Linked DNA regions of Notamacropus eugenii. The protein of the gene in region 2 interacts with the protein of the main gene of each other region in a pairwise test. Links are inferred from orthologs where the notes say so. Each region holds a gene or a part of one and is shown on either strand. Other genes may lie near its edges.

Region 1 (7,281 bases), on a different chromosome or scaffold from region 2:
AGTTCTTCTTTACATCAAACCTAAATTTGACTGCAACTTCCATCCAGTATTAGTTCTGTCACACAAAGTGCCAGTTAGAAAAGCTTTCACTTCAAAAGATTCTTAACACTTTCTAGATTCATCAAAGCAATTGTGCCCAAATACCTTTTTAAAGTTTTTCCGTAGAAAGCATCCACTCACCATTTATTATTTACAGTGTACAAAATATTATGTGGAGACAAATCATTTGCACAATGAGGCAGATCTAGTTAGATTTTGTGACCTTAAATTGCTTTTATTAAATTTTTCTCCTATTAAAAAAAGAAAAGAATTAAAGAAAATGGTCTGTAGGCAACCAGCCAGAAGAATTTGAATTTCATGTTTCAGTTTAAAATATTGTATGTCTTATTTTGGCTACCAACGTATACCCCAGAATCCCTTAAAGTACTAGTAGAATTTCAGCTTTGATGAGGTACTGGAAGGTAGAACTGCTGATGTTCTGCCATCACATTTTTAGATAGACAACAATTTCAACAAAGCTCTTGGTATCTGTTGAAAGGTTGAATTATGTGTCTGGTAAGTCTAAAAATTGTTTATTCTGTCAGCAGTGATTGCTCTGGAGAGATGATATACAAGTATGATCGGCATAAATATGACTTCTGTGTTTCAGGGTTTTTTTGTAATCTGCATCATTGGAAGGAGTAAGATAAAAAGATCACAGTGTTTGAAGTTTTGGAGTAATAACTGAAAAGTTATTTTGATGGACATTCCGGATCAGTTAAGATTTTTCTTATAGAAGAAACTTTTAAAAATTTGTTATACATTATAAATTATACAAGTTTATTTAGGCACACTATGTAATTCTCAATACAAAAATTTACAGATCTCAAGATATGTATAATTTTCTATCACAATACCCACAGCAACTGTCCCAAACCCTCTCGTTAAGCCTACTATCACACCTCCTCATATTTTATCTCAAAGAACCTCACCTTCTTCTTTAGAGAAAATCAAGGCCATCCTTCATCACTTCCCTGGATTCCCCTCTAAAGTACAATACCCCTCAATTTCATCTCTATTTTCTCATTTACTTTTGTCTCTAATTAGGAGGTGGTCTTTGTCAAGTCCAGCCTTGCCCTGTCTTCTTTTGATATCATCCCACTCATTCTCCAGGAGACTGTCCCTTCAGTCATCCCCTTTCTATGATCTTAAATCTCTTCTATCTACTGGTTCCTTCTCCAGTTTCTACAAACCTACTTAAGTCTTCTTCCCCTCACCCTTAAAAATCTTTTAACTTTATGCACTCAACTTATCATCCTATATCTTGACTTCCTTTCATGGCCAAAACTGCTAGAAAAAAACTCTCTACTGTTTTTGCTTCTCACTCTTGCTTCCCAACCTCTTGCAAACTTGGCTTCCCTCCTTATTACTCCACTGAAACTGCCTTCTATTAACAGCTAAGAAAGACATCCTCTTAGCTACTAAATTTAAAGGTCTTTCTTAGTGCTCATCTTTCTTAACATTGATCACTCTGGATACTCTTCAGCTCTTGACACTCATCTCTTTTGATTCTCTCCTGACCTGTCTGACCACACTTCGGGTTCCTTTGCAGGCTTATCACCAGTTTTCTATCCATCCCCATGCATGGCGTGGCTATTTCCAAGGTTTTGTCCTGGGCCCTCCCCTCACTACAACTTCTCAATGCTCTTATCAGGTCCCAGGAGTTCAAGATTATCACCTTTATTAACATGACTCCTAACCCTACCCAGTCCTCTGAGCTCCAGACCTGTATCACCAAATGCCTGCCAAAAATCTCTACCTGGATATCCTTATGCATCTCAAAATCAAAATGTTCACATTAGAACTTACTATGTTCTTCCCTTTACCCTCCTCAAAAATTTCATATTTCTATTGGAGGTATTCTTCCAGTCAACAAAGTTCACAAATTCAATCATCCTTAACTCTTCCTTTTCCCTCATCTTCCATATGTAATCATTTGTCAAGTTTGGCCATTTCTATATCCAACCCATATCCTTCATATATTCTCTTCTCCACACATGTGGTCAACACCCTACTTCAGACTCTCATTCATCTCTTCCTTCATCTATTCAGCAGCCACCTAAATGAATCCACAGCTTCCAATCTCTCCCCTATCCAATGTACCATCCACATAGCTGCCAAAATAATATTCCTAAAGCACATATCTGACATCACTCCCCTGCTCAAGAATTTTCAATGGTTACCTGTTGCATCTCATATAAAATACAAAATGCTTACCTTGGCATTAACAGGTTTTCATTGTGTGTAAGACATAGGGAGGAAACAAGTTCTGTAAAAAAAAAAAAAAAAGCAATAAAAATTTTTTTTAAAGGTTTATACAGTCTGACTCCAGTTTATCTTTCCAGGCTTGTTTTCACAGTACTCTTCACCTAATCTACATTTTAGCAATTTCCCAAACTTGGAATTATCCCCCACCTGCTTTCCTTTGCAAAGGTTGTTCCCCTTTCTACAGGCATTCTCCAACCCACCAGGGCGTCTTAGCTTCATTCAAGGCTTAGCTCATCTTTCCTCATCTCTAAATGTTCGTGCTCTCATCCTCTTCCAAATTATCTTGTGTTTACTTATCTGTTTACATATTGCATCCTCTCAGCAAAATAGAAGCCCTTTGAGGACAGGTACTAGTTTTCATTTGTAATTGTATCCTAGCACAAACAGATCCATTTTTATTGGTTGAATTGTACAGGATGAAATCCTAAACTTGCCGAACCCCTGAAATTCAGTTTTAAAAGACTAGGGATCTGTTATTCATGGCAAAATATCTAAGTCAAACCATTCTTTAGCAAATTAGTTATAACTAGATTTACCTAGCATACCTAGGTAGTCATGGATTTTGGCTTAAGCGCTGTTCACAACAGCCAAAAGAAAACAGGAGATGGACAAGGGAAAGGAAGGCCCCCTGGGGACCTTTGTTTACAAGGGGTATAGAAAGCAAGGGAAAATCTGGAGATTGCCCTGTGGCACATAAACAGAGCAGGCGTACGCTCCAACCTAACAATCCTGCTGTGGTTTACATTCTGCAAAGGAGTTAAAAGACAGAAACAGAGGAGCGTGTCCCCAAAGTCTTCGTGCAATGTAGTTAAATTCTGAATGACTCCAGACTTCTGGGACACCTGGCATATTAAAGTGTTCATAACCCCATTCTTTGTGGAAGAAAAAACCTGAAAAGAGAAGGTGACCATTGACTGGAAGGGGTGGAACCTACGGCAGGTAAATGTGGACTATTATTGTGAATCAAAGCGCAAAAAAGGTACCAGAAACATACGATTTTCATGGTGTAGAACAGAATAAGCAGAACCAAGAACGCAAGATCCCAGGGGCGCAAAGGAGCAGATTTATTCAGATGAAACCGAACCGTTCAGTAATGGAAAAGCCAGAAATGTTTCCGAAGGAATGACAGTAAACATGCCTACCAGAACCAGGTATCGTACGGGTTTCAAGCTTTCCGGGTTAGATTTGTAAAGTGCTTCTCCGCCGCAGGTCCAGTCTGCGGGCTACACGTGTTCTGTTCCGTGGTTTTAATGAGAGGGTGGGGAGTGGCCGCGCTGCACAGGAGGGGGGCTGCACAGGATGGGGGCTGCGCGGAGGGGGGCTGCACAGGAGGGGGGCTGCACAGCAGGGGGGCTGCACAGCAGGGGGGCTGCGCGGAGAGGGGCTGCACAGGAGGGGGGCTGCGCGGAGGGGGGCTGCGCGGAGGGGGGCTGCACAGCAGGGGGGCTGCACAGCAGGGGGGCTGCACAGCAGGGGGGCTGCGCGGAGGGCTTCCCCTAAGTAGGACGTGACGGTTTATCTAGGCAAAGAAACCTGTTGGAAAGGCTAATTGTAATATGTCGGGGAAATGCCCGCTTCTTTACCAATAAACGTGAAAAACACGCCCCATTCCCCAGTGGGAGGGTGGGGGGACGAGGCGAATGCGCGAGCGCGAGGCTGGAGGTGTCCGGGGTGCCTCGGAGGCCATGGCCTCTGTACCGCGGCCCGCCGCAGGATTCTCACCGCGAGAAACCCGGAGAGAACAGACCCGAACAGAGCCGACACCCTCGAGTTACCGACCGCGAAAGATTCAGGTGGCGCCTCGGGAACTATTCAAATTTAGAACACGGGTACTGAAGAGGAAAGCGTACGGAAGCCTGCTGGAGACATTTGCTGGGAGCGCTCCGCTATTCAACGCCGCTTTAGTGCGCGGTTGCCGTCCAGCAGGGGGCGAACCTCAACTGAGAAACTACTCAAGCTGGGAACCAGCGCGCAGGCGCCGTCGACGGCGCAGGCGCAAACGGGAGTGAGTATAGCGAAGCCCGCTCGTCCGCTACCCCCGGCTAGCTCGGCTGGCGTGGCGCTGACGGTGGCGCTTGGGCGAGCGGTGGCGCACTCTCGAGCGGGTGTCTCCTCGGCTATGGATGAAGACTACTTCGGGAGCGCTGCTGAGTGGGGAGAAGACGCCGACGGCGCCCAGGTAAGAGGACGCCGAGGCGCGGCCATTGATGGCTCGCCATGGTCAGGTCTCCACTCTCCTCCGGTACCGAGCCCTGGGCCGCGGCCGAGGCCCCAGAGGGCGGCCCCGCTCGGGATGGGGCCTGGAGACCCCCGCGGAGAGCCCAGTGGCCCCAGTCTCTGTGGGTGTGCACGCTTCACATGTTGTTTACCAACCCTTGATTGCAATCTTGTAATGGCGAAAACTGCCCCACTTAAAATCGTCTTCTGTTGGCTTCGCCTCCCGACCCCGGGTGATTGCAGCCCCTTAACCGCAAAGCCCTCCGCCGTCCGCTAGGCCCTCCCGTCTTCCTCCCCAGCACTGCCTTCCCCAGCCAGATAGCAGCGTTCGCCCTGCACGTTGCCTGCCGTTTTTCCGCCTCTTTGCCGGACGGCCTGTCGCGGGCTTGCAGTGTCCTTCTGTGGCTCTGGGGGATGTGCTGGCCCACCTTTACAGCCCGATCCAGGTGCCGCTTCTCCGCGGATCCTCCCCTCAGCCCTGCAGTGGCCTTTGTCTTCCCCGAGGAGCCTTTGTTTACCTCTGTGGTGCGCTTAGGAGGCGGCGAGACCGAACCGCTGTGTGTGCAGTGCAGGGCGCGGAGGCGGGAGAGCCGAGGACAGGTCCAGCCTCAGCCACCCGGGAGCTGGGTGACCCTGGGCGAGGCGCGTAACCTCTGTTTGCCTTCATCTGCTGGAGAAGGAACTGACAGACCACTCCAGCATCCCTGCCCAGAAGAGCCCGTGGATCCAGGGGGCGTGAAGAGTCGGACGAGGCTGAACAACGAAGGACTCCCTCACGCAGAATCGTGTGTGTGATTGACCTCCCCACGAAACTAAGCCCCATAAGGACAGGAACTGTCTCTTCTGAAACTTTGCGGTCCCCTCCGTACTCTGCGTAGTGGGTGCTGAAGATTTCAGTTCAGTTCAACAATATTTACTAAGTACCTCTATCGTCGGGCATTGTATTAGACTGGGGTTACAGGCATAAAAATGAAGCAGCTCTTGTACACAAGGAGCCTGCATTCTGCTGTTTGTTGAAACACCTCTTCGAGTTTAGGACAGGTCTCTTCCCCGTACAATCCATTCCTCACACTACTTCCAGGTGAAAAGAGTGGATTAAAGACGATTTTGATTTGATGTTATATTTAAGGAAGACGGTAGCGTATTCACATAGAGTCTTACATGTAGTAATCAGTGTTTGATTTGAAAACAATAAAGGGGAGAGGGAAGAGGTGTTTTCAGATTTAATAGTCTAGCCTTTCATTGACTTACTCATTCAAACAACCTTTATTAAACCTTGGACTGATTCATAATTTGCACACCAGTTGTATCCTGTCTTTCACTAAAGTTCTACTCCAGTGCCTCTTCTGATGTCGTTCTTGAAGACTGTGCAAGGAATGTGTGAAACCTTGGCTGGACCTAGCATGATGGGCAGGTGATGGGTAATTCGTCAATTTAAAGAGATTCCTCCCTGGAAGGTTAGCCATGGGTTGATGAATTTCTTGACTACAGCAGCTCCAGAAGAGCATAGAGATGCTGCTAAGGAGGAAGTACCTACACTGATAAAAATCACAGATCTTTTGAAGTAGACTTACTTATAGGAAGTATGGCAGGAAGTTGTTATTTTTTCCAGTCATTTGGCAGTAAATCCTTTTTCCACAGTACCAAGGTAAACCTAAACATGTTCTTGTCAGGGATGTTAGTGTGCAACCTTTCCATATCCTGAGAATGTTTCTTTTAAAAAAAAAAAAGTAACTTCCAGAGAAGATTTTAGAAAGGAAATTAATCACTTAGTTATACTAAGGATTAAGACCAGTAATTAAATCTTGTATTCAAGTAATTTTTGATGTGCTGTTTTAGATTGCTACTCACTCTAGATTGCTTTAGACTTTGTTTTTTCTTTGTTTATTCAGAAGGTACATTCTTACTTCTACCTGCCAACCCAAAGCACAGGAGCAATGTCTAGCATCTTTCCTCTAAAACAATGCATCTTAAACTGTGGGTCTCCACCCCCATGGGGTTTCATAACTGAATGTGAGGGGTGGTGAAAAATATAGCAACAGTAGAAGGTTTCTGAACATGCAGCAACCAAAAAGTAATTCAGAATCAAACGCATAATAAATCCCAGGTGTTTCTGGCAGCACTCTCCTGTGTTGCATTGCACAGCTTCATTGTAGCCTTGGTTCTGAACACATAACATGAGCACTTTGGAAAGCCAGAAACACATCAGCTCAGATTTGAGACTATTTTATGTAATAAATTGCAGCATTTTTTCTCTGTGTACAAAATCATTAAATGAGTTTCGATTTGAGATTAGGACTGAATTTCCAACTATTTCTGAAATGGCCCTAAATATACTTCTGCCATGTTGTACTACGTATTTATGCGAAGCGGTGTTCTCAGCATTGATGATTATAAAATCAAAATTTTGCTCAACTCTGAAGAAATGTTGAAGATTCTCTACATCCTGCAGTATCAAATATTCTGACAAGATTTGATTCTTTATGCAAAAATAAGCACATGCATCTCATTAGTATGCAAATTTGCTTTCATGTTTAATAAATGGTAAAATTATCTGTATACCAAAGAATTATTTTAAAAATAAATTACTTTATGATATTTTATCAGTAAATGTTTGATTTGTGTATCTATTTCATATACCTATATACCCAGGGTCACATAAAAATTTCTCCTGCAAAATGGGGTTGAGAGTAGAAAAGGTTTAAGAAGCCCTGCTCTAAAACAGCAGTTCTCAAAATTTTTGTTCTCAGGGACCCC
Region 2 (8,044 bases):
CGTGGGAGATGATAAATCAGCAAAAGAGAGGAGAGAAGGGGGAGGACCCAGGACCAAGCCTTGGGGGACGCCCACAGGGAGGCTCAGAAGGGGCAGTTCAAGTCAAAGAACCAAAGCAGAAGTCAAAGAAAAAGTGTGCTGAAGGACGGAGTGATCCGCAAGAGGGAAAACTGAAAAAGCCTATTGGGTTTATCATAAGAAATGATGGGTAGCCTGAGGGGCAGCAGCAGAATGATGAAGATGAAGGAGCAAATGGAAGCTAGGACAGTGGAGGCAAGAAATGAGGATGACTCTTTCTAGAAGCTTGACTGAGAAAAGGAAAAGAAATAAAAGATCTAAAGTACTGGAGGACCAAGTTCAAATTTAAGGACCAGAACAATCTTCATCCTTCTCGGGGACTCACTCCGGAATATTGGCTTTCTCACCATCATGTCCCAGGAGCCCCATCACACCAAAAGATCCTCTGGCCCTTTCTCCGATTGCTCATTTCCTCCAAGAACCTCCATTTGCAGGGACAGCCCAGGCCAAACATGTTACTCCCTCATTCCAACTCTCCAGGTCCCATGTAGGCATTTTCTCTCTCCAGCAGAACATAAGGAAGCTCTTTCAGGGCAGGAACTGGCTTTGGGCTTGTATTTGTACTTGTAGCCCTTAACACAGTAAGGACTGAATAAATGCTCCCTGACTTGTCTTGTGTACTTGTAGATAGCACAGAAGGGGAGGGATGTGAAAATGGGAGAGCTGCTGAGGATGATTCACACCCTTCCCTTCTCTGTCTGTCTCTGTCCATATCTCTGTCTCTCTTACACACACACACACACACACACACACACACACACACGCACGTGCTCCTCCCCATTCTCCAGTAGCTCCGTGTCGCCTTTAAGATCAAATATGAACATCTTTCTTTGGCTTGTGAAGCTCTTCAGAAGTGACCGCCTTCCCGGCTTTCCCTCTTCTCCCATGTTACTCTCTCCTCTGCAGTCCAACCATCGTGGGCTACTCCCTGTTCCCCACATCCATTTCCTGTCTCCACACCTTTGCACTGTCTGTCATTTGTGTCGGGAATGCAGCTCTGAAACTTTTTAAATCCTGATTTCCCTCCAGATTCAATTCAAACACCACCTTCTACCTGATGCCCTTCTGGGCCCCTCTGCTGCTAGGCCCTTCCTCCCATGATCACCCTGTATTCATTTTCTATATATTATGTGCAGAACATAAGCTCCTTGAGGGCAAGGCCTACTTCTCTTTCACTTTTCTAGCTCCAGAACTCTGCATATAGTAAGCATGTTTTCAGATCATTGCCTGAATGGTCAACAGGATGAGCTCCCAGAGGAGAGGGATGGGAAGGATGTCAATCCCAGAAGTACAGAGGGTGGACTTGGATCAGGACAAAAGCCTTTGATCAGCCATAGCAGCTACATGAGCACTCTGGCTAAACAGGCCAAGGGCCCAGCAGCCTTGTCACTCTTGAGGCCTCCAGGCCTCCATGTGCATCACTGACTGCAGTTCTTGGTTTCAGAGAACGGGGACAATCATGGTGTCAGTCCCACCTGTAGGCTTATGCTATGAATGGCCAGATTGTGGATGGCTCTGTTAGAGGAAAGTGTTCAAGAGCAAATGAGTCCTTGGGCTCAGGTGAGCTACTGAAGGGAGCCAGAACTCCACAAGTTCTGCTCGACTTATTTGTCAAGACCAGACATTGATGTGACCCCAAGGAATCCATGTCCAAATCATCTGCCACTGGCAGGAAACCAAGCCACAGCCATGATCACCTATCCGTGCCAGTGTAGCTCAGCACCTCCTCTGCACTGGACAGTCTTTGAGCTGCAGGCAGCATTGAGAAGAGGGTCACTTGCCCAGGATCACCTGACCAGCCAGTCTGTGTCAGAAGCAGGCCTTGAACCCAGGGCAGCTTCCTGGTTCTGCTGCCAGGCTTCTAGCTGCTAAGCCACACTGAAACCAAGGGCAAATCCCATCACTTCCTGGGCTTGACTTCCATATTTCTAGTAAAGAAGAGTGCCTCTTGTACTTGGCCGTTTCCTTTCCTGTTATGGCTAAGCAGTAAGAAGGAAGGAACGAACAGGAACCTGAAAGCGTTCATGCTCAGAAAATTCCCACTCTGATGCCTTCAAGGTAGAGAAAGTTCCATAAGATTTGATGTCAAAATTAGAGCCCCCAAGAACAATCAATCAGGGGTCTTGTGCAAAGCTCAGAAAACGTTTTTCCAACAATCTCCTCTATATTTCATTTTTCTATCTGCTCCCTAGTTTTCTATTCTATTTCATTCCCTTGAGAAACAAAACTCCTTTCTCTCCATACCTGTTTGGATCTGGCAGCAATCTAGCTTGAAGATGAAGATGAAGAGACATTAGGTGCAAACCAACAGGGCTGATCTTGATTTCAGTAAGACATGAGGAGACTCTGCATCCTCACTAAGGCACAGGATTCCAAGGACGTCTATAGTTGGTGAAGAGTGTTTTACTGAAAAAAGAGAGCAAAACACACATACCTGCAAATGCACATATACACACGCATGCACATATACTTATCAGCTCACCACAATGTCCACACCAGATGTGAAGAGGGATTTCCTAGAAAGGACAGGTTGGGTGGAGGACACTAGAGGTTGGAGGGACATCACATAGTCTGGGCAAAGGGTCAGGGAGTGTTGAGTGAGGCCACAGCTAGACATAGAGAGGTAGGGACAGATTTCGATGACCGCCTGAATCTGGTGGATGGGAAATGTGAGGAGAAGCCGAGATGCTGCTGAGAGCTGAAGCTTGTGGGGCAGGGAGACAATGGGGCCCCAACTCTGAGCTAACGACTCTATTGTACTGTGGCTTCTCCCTCAGCCATCTTCAATTCCAGTCATCTTGCTACTGGCCAAGAAGAAAGTCCACCCATGGACCTCCAACCTAGGTATAATGTGACAGCTGTGACAGAGTTCATCTTGTTGGGGTTGACACAGAGGTGGGAACTGCAGCCAGTCCTTTTTGTTATCTTTCTCTTGGCCTATGTGGCCACAGTTGGCGGCAACCTGGGCATCTTGGCTGCCATCTTGGTGGAGCCCAAGCTGCGTACGCCAATGTACTTCTTTCTGGGGAATCTGTCACTGCTGGATATTGGATGTGTCAGCGTCACAGTGCCCCCAATGCTAGTGCGACTTGTATCCCAAGACCAAGCTGTTCCCTTTGCTGCCTGCCTCTCTCAGCTCTTCTTCTTCCACCTGCTCGCTGGTGTTGACTGCTTCCTGCTGACTGCCATGGCCTATGATCGCTTCCTGGCCATCTGCCATCCTCTCACCTATACAACTCAAATGGGACAAGAAGTCCAGGGAGTGTTGGTGGCTGCATCTTGGGCCTGCTCACTTGGAAATGCATTGACCCATACAGTGGCACTATCCACACTTGACTTCTGTGGCCCCAATGTGGTGAACCATTTCTACTGTGACCTCCCCCAACTCTTTCATCTTGCCTGCTCTAGTACACACCTCAATGAGCTGCTGCTCTTTGCTCTGAGTATCATCATGGCAGGAGTCCCCATGGTCCTCATTGTCACCTCCTACCTGCAGGTAGCAGCTGCTGTGCTGAGGATCGGATCAGCAGAGGGTCGGAGAAAGGCCCTCTCCACCTGCAGCTCACACCTGGCTGTTGTGAGCATCTTCTATGGGGCTGGTATCTTCAGCTACATGCACCTGGGTTCCATGGAGGCCTCAGACCAGAGCAAAGGGGTTGGAATCCTCAACACTGTCCTCAGCCCCATGCTCAATCCACTCATCTATAGCCTCCGGAACCCAGACGTGCAGGGAGCCTTGCGGCAGGTTTTCACAGGGCAGAGAGTCTCAGCCTGAGGTGACCAGTGGCCTAGGCCCTTGGCCCCACTGATTTTTAAAGTCTTTCCTAGGTTCTCAGTGATCTCCCAGCTCTGTCCTCCACCTGACAACAACAGGTCCTTGCCCCTCAGCCCCCACTAGCCTAGGCTCTCATTCTTAGTGGTACCCTAAGCCTTTCAAAGGGCATCAGGCATCTCATAAGTCTTTTTTTAGCCTGAAAATTATAGGGATGAGTAATGTTGCCTGGTCTGAGGGAATCCTGAGGCTAAGGCTCCCTTCTTCATTGACCTCTCCTTAGGGGTTCTTTGTAGTCAGTCCCCATTTTTCTTCTCTCTTTGGCTGAAAACTGACAGGAACGGATCTTGACTGGAGGTGATCAGGACACTAGACTTTTTTCCTCAGTGGTTTTCCAGATTTATCATTGAGTTTCAGTAATCGATTCACTTTCCTTGACTGGACTATGACAAAATGAAAAGCAGAGCTCAGCCTGAAGCTTTTATCATTGGTGAGCAGCCTCTCCTGAGCTGCCCCAGGTCTAACGCGTCTAGAGCTCTCTTCCTTGAGGATTTCAAAACTGTGTGTGTGTGTGTGTGTGTGTGTGTGTGTGTGTGTGTGTCTCTCTCTGTCTCTTCTCTCCTCTCCTCTCTTTGTGTGTGTCTCTCTGTCTCTGTCTCTCTATTTCTCTCCCTCCCTTCTCCCTCATTTCTCTCCTCGAACCAGTGCTGAGAAGGCTGGGTGACAGACAGAGCTTGCCCTCAGGTGACCTTATCTTCCCAGGGAAACCCATGGGGGGAGGGGGAGAGGGAGAGGGAGAGGGGAAGAGAGAGAGTCCGAAATGGACAACGGGAGAGGGGAGGGGGAAGGCAATAGGAATGACGGGAAGAGGCGGAATGGAGTGTTTGCTCTAGAATTCTTTCCTGGGACAGTCAGCTCACTCAAAAGCACTCATTCCGCCACATCCTTAACCCCCGAGGCGGGTTGCAGCCCCAAGCCTGCACCACCCAGTTCTCAGTCAACTCTTTGCCCCACCTTTCTCCTGGTCGGCTTAAAGAGCCACAACCAACACCAAGACCCAGGCAGCCAATGAGCTGTCTAAGAGACTGGAGAAAGCCAATGAGAGTGCACCAACGGAGAAGTGGGAGGAGGAAGAGGAACAAGACGCTCTGACCAATCATTGCAGGCCTAGAAGGGGTGGGGGGAGAAGTAGCCAATGGACACTCGACAGAGGTGGGGCTCCCAGGATTGAGAAGGTAGAGGGCGGGGCCTGACAACTATTGAACTGAGGGAAAACTGCTCCTGAAGTGACCGATGTGCACTCGGGAGAGGTGGGGCTCCGGGAGAGTGAGGGATTGAAAGGAAAGGGGTGAACTCCCTGAGTGGCCAATCAGTGTCATCTGCCTAAGGAGGAGAAAGCATCCGCCAATGAGCATGGAATTCTGGAGGAGCGGCGGCTCCTATAGTCAATGAGATTGTGGGTAGGGGCTTTGCTGGAGCTGAAGCGACCAATGGGATCTCGACGGGGGCAGGCCTGACGGAACAGGGGCCTTGAGGCGGCCGTGGCCGGTTCCACCCTCTGGGAGAGGAAAGATGGGCCCCAAGATGGAGGAGGCCACTGTGCCAGCACCGTGACAGGTAAGACGACGCCAGGCTGAAGCCACGGTGGCCGTTCTGTATTACTTCCTGTCTTATCCCGTGCCTCCCCCCTTCACGGAAAAAGAATGGAATCTCCCGTCGCTGGGAGGGGTAGCTGGACGCAACGCGCAAGCGCGAAGGGAAGGGGGAGGGGCACGGGATTTGGTTCCTTTAAACTATCTGGCTGCTGGCGCCTGCGCACAGAGTCCCTCCCGGGGTGGGGCTATTTCCCACCCCCTCTTCACCGTCGTCTCCCCCCCAAAATCTTTCCATTCCACCTACCCCTTCTACCCCTTGCCCCTTTTTGGCGCTTGGAAATCCCCACCCACACTCGGAAACTTCGTTTTCCCTAGTGATAAGAGCTTCCTGGTTATGGCTCTTGGAGATCCTCTGCTAACCCCAATATCTAGGTCCTGCGAAGAGTTTTCAGAAATTTTCGCCTCCCCTCATCTCAGCCGCGCCTCGGCCCCCCCCCCCCCCCCCCCCCCCCCCCCCCCCCGCAACAGTCCAAGTCCCTTCGAAATGAAGGCCCAGGGACACTGGGCGCACCTGTGGGTTGTCCCCACCCACCTGGAGTCTGGCAACCACTTGAGTAGCCACTGGCTCCCCATATAAGTACTCAGGCTCACAAGGCTGACCACAGAATCATGGAAATTTCCCAGAGAGTACATACACACACAGTCACCCATGCACAGGGACACGAGGGGCACACCACCCCCCCAATCCCAAATCTTTGACTTATGATATTCCCCTGGGTGGGGCTCCAGCCAATTATAATGTCAGGGTTTGCCCTTGCTAATCACTCTGATTTTTGCTTCCTGTAGCTCTGCTCAACAGGTGCTGGTTGTTTCTCCAAGGCCCACTCACTGTATACCATAGCTCCACCTCTGTGTTCCTTTGCTGATGTCCATAGTGCTGCCATTCGCTTCCCCAGGGGCCCAGCTCTAAACATTGATCCACATGGAGTGACCACTCTGAAGTCCCTGCCTTGTCCAACTGTGTTTACAGCTGAAAGCATGTGTGAAGAACAGTTAGGGGGTCACAGCTCCCCTGTACCTTTGCAAACCTTATTTGTATTCTCGAATCCTGTGCCCCTGCCTTGGCACAACAAAAGGGCTGTTGGGGTGCTGTGGAAATGTTCCCCTCCTTGCTTTGTTCAAACATGTCTCTATCTGCAGGTTCTGGTGACTCAGTATTGTTTACTTTCTTTCCTCCCCAGCACCCAGGCAGCAGCTCTACTGCTTGTTTCTGTGGCAGCCCCACTCCCACTTCAGAGTTGGCCCCGAAATCATTTAAGCTCCTTCACAAAAGATCCCTAAGGATTAGAATTAGGGCTGGAATTAGAGGGTAGGATGGATGGCACCAGCTGTTGGGGGCAGGAATCATAGTCTCCTATCCCATCATGCTTGGCCATCTGACAGTGCTTAGAAATTTCTATCTCCACCTTTGTCAACCTCTGTTATGGGAACTAAAGATTTCCTGATCCACACACACCCTGCCCCCCAAGAGTTCAATGTCTTCTGATCTTCCCCCGCCCCAAATAGTCTTATCCCCATAAATGGTAATGAGAGATCTTGAGCCATCCCAACATCATTGTCATTCTAATGGTGCTTGCACAGCATAGGGGTCATAGGGCTAAAGCTGAGAGGGAAGAAAAGTCATGTAATCCAACCTCATCATTTGACAAAGGAGGAAACTGAGGCGAGCAGAGGTGAAGTGACTTGTCCAAGTTTACCCAGCTAATACATGGCAGAGCCAGGATTTGAACCCAAGGCTTCCCACTCCAAACCCAGCACCCTTTCTGCTGCACCAGTGTCCAGCCCACCATCATCCTTGTCCCCTCAGTAAAGTATAGAGATCTATAGCCTAGCCCATCATCGTTTCCCAACAGTGTCTTTCCCCACCTTTCAGGTCACTTGAGTGTGGGGGGGGGCAAGATGAGACGAGGCCCGACTGCCACCCCTGTGGAACCCTCCAGGGGCTTAACCCTACCTGAAGATCCTGATGCTATCCCTTTCACCAGCAATAGGGTTGGGGGCACTGTGAAGGTCTATCTGCCCAACCAGCAGCGCACAGTGGTGAGCAAGCCATCTGGGAAAGATCAGGGGCCCTGCCCAGGGAAGGAAGAAACTCCTAATCTTGGGAGCTGGGACAAGGAGGGAAACTTGGGAAAAAGTAAATCACAAGCATCTGTTAGGTAACTGCGAGAGATGGGATGACCGTCTCCGACTCACTGGACAAGGCGCTGAAGGTGCGGGGACTGAACCAAGACTGCTGCGCTGTGTATCGCCTTGTGCAGGGGTGAGCTCCCTGTTTGTCCTCCCTTCTCCCAGTTCCCCTAGCCCCCTCCTTCCCCATATGACTCATCCTCTCGGCCCCCTTAGCCGGAAGACAGCAACAGCTTGGGATGCAGCCATTGCTCCCTTGCATGGGGAAGAACTGACAGTCGAGGTCCGGGCTGATGTTCCGCTTGCAGCTGCTCACAACTTTGCCCGGAAGACCTTCCTGGCTCTCACCTTCTGTGACTTCTGCCGCCGCTTCCTCTTTCATGGCTTCCGCTGCCAGACATGTGGCTAC

The links. The genes of interacting proteins can lie anywhere in the genome.
Region 1: the proteins of ARAF (region 2) and NELFCD interact in binary tests that used the Homo sapiens proteins (3 or more experiments, as listed by UniProt). The link is inferred for Notamacropus eugenii from reciprocal best matches to the Homo sapiens genes ARAF and NELFCD.

Annotation. Positions count from the first base shown.
Region 1 is NC_092872.1:506,007,938-506,015,218, reverse strand, and holds the start of NELFCD (negative elongation factor C/D), read left to right. Parts: upstream 1-4,181; 5' UTR 4,182-4,426; coding exon 4,427-4,486; intron 4,487-7,281. UniProt on the Homo sapiens protein: Essential component of the NELF complex, a complex that negatively regulates the elongation of transcription by RNA polymerase II.
Region 2 is NC_092879.1:101,763,041-101,771,084, forward strand, and holds the start of ARAF (serine/threonine-protein kinase A-Raf), read left to right. Parts: upstream 1-5,004; 5' UTR 5,005-5,467; intron 5,468-7,378; 5' UTR 7,379-7,404; coding exon 7,405-7,545; intron 7,546-7,664; coding exon 7,665-7,768; intron 7,769-7,851; coding exon 7,852-8,044. Other genes in the region: olfactory receptor 3A2-like, read left to right, coding at 2,856-3,853. UniProt on the Homo sapiens protein: Involved in the transduction of mitogenic signals from the cell membrane to the nucleus. May also regulate the TOR signaling cascade. Phosphorylates PFKFB2.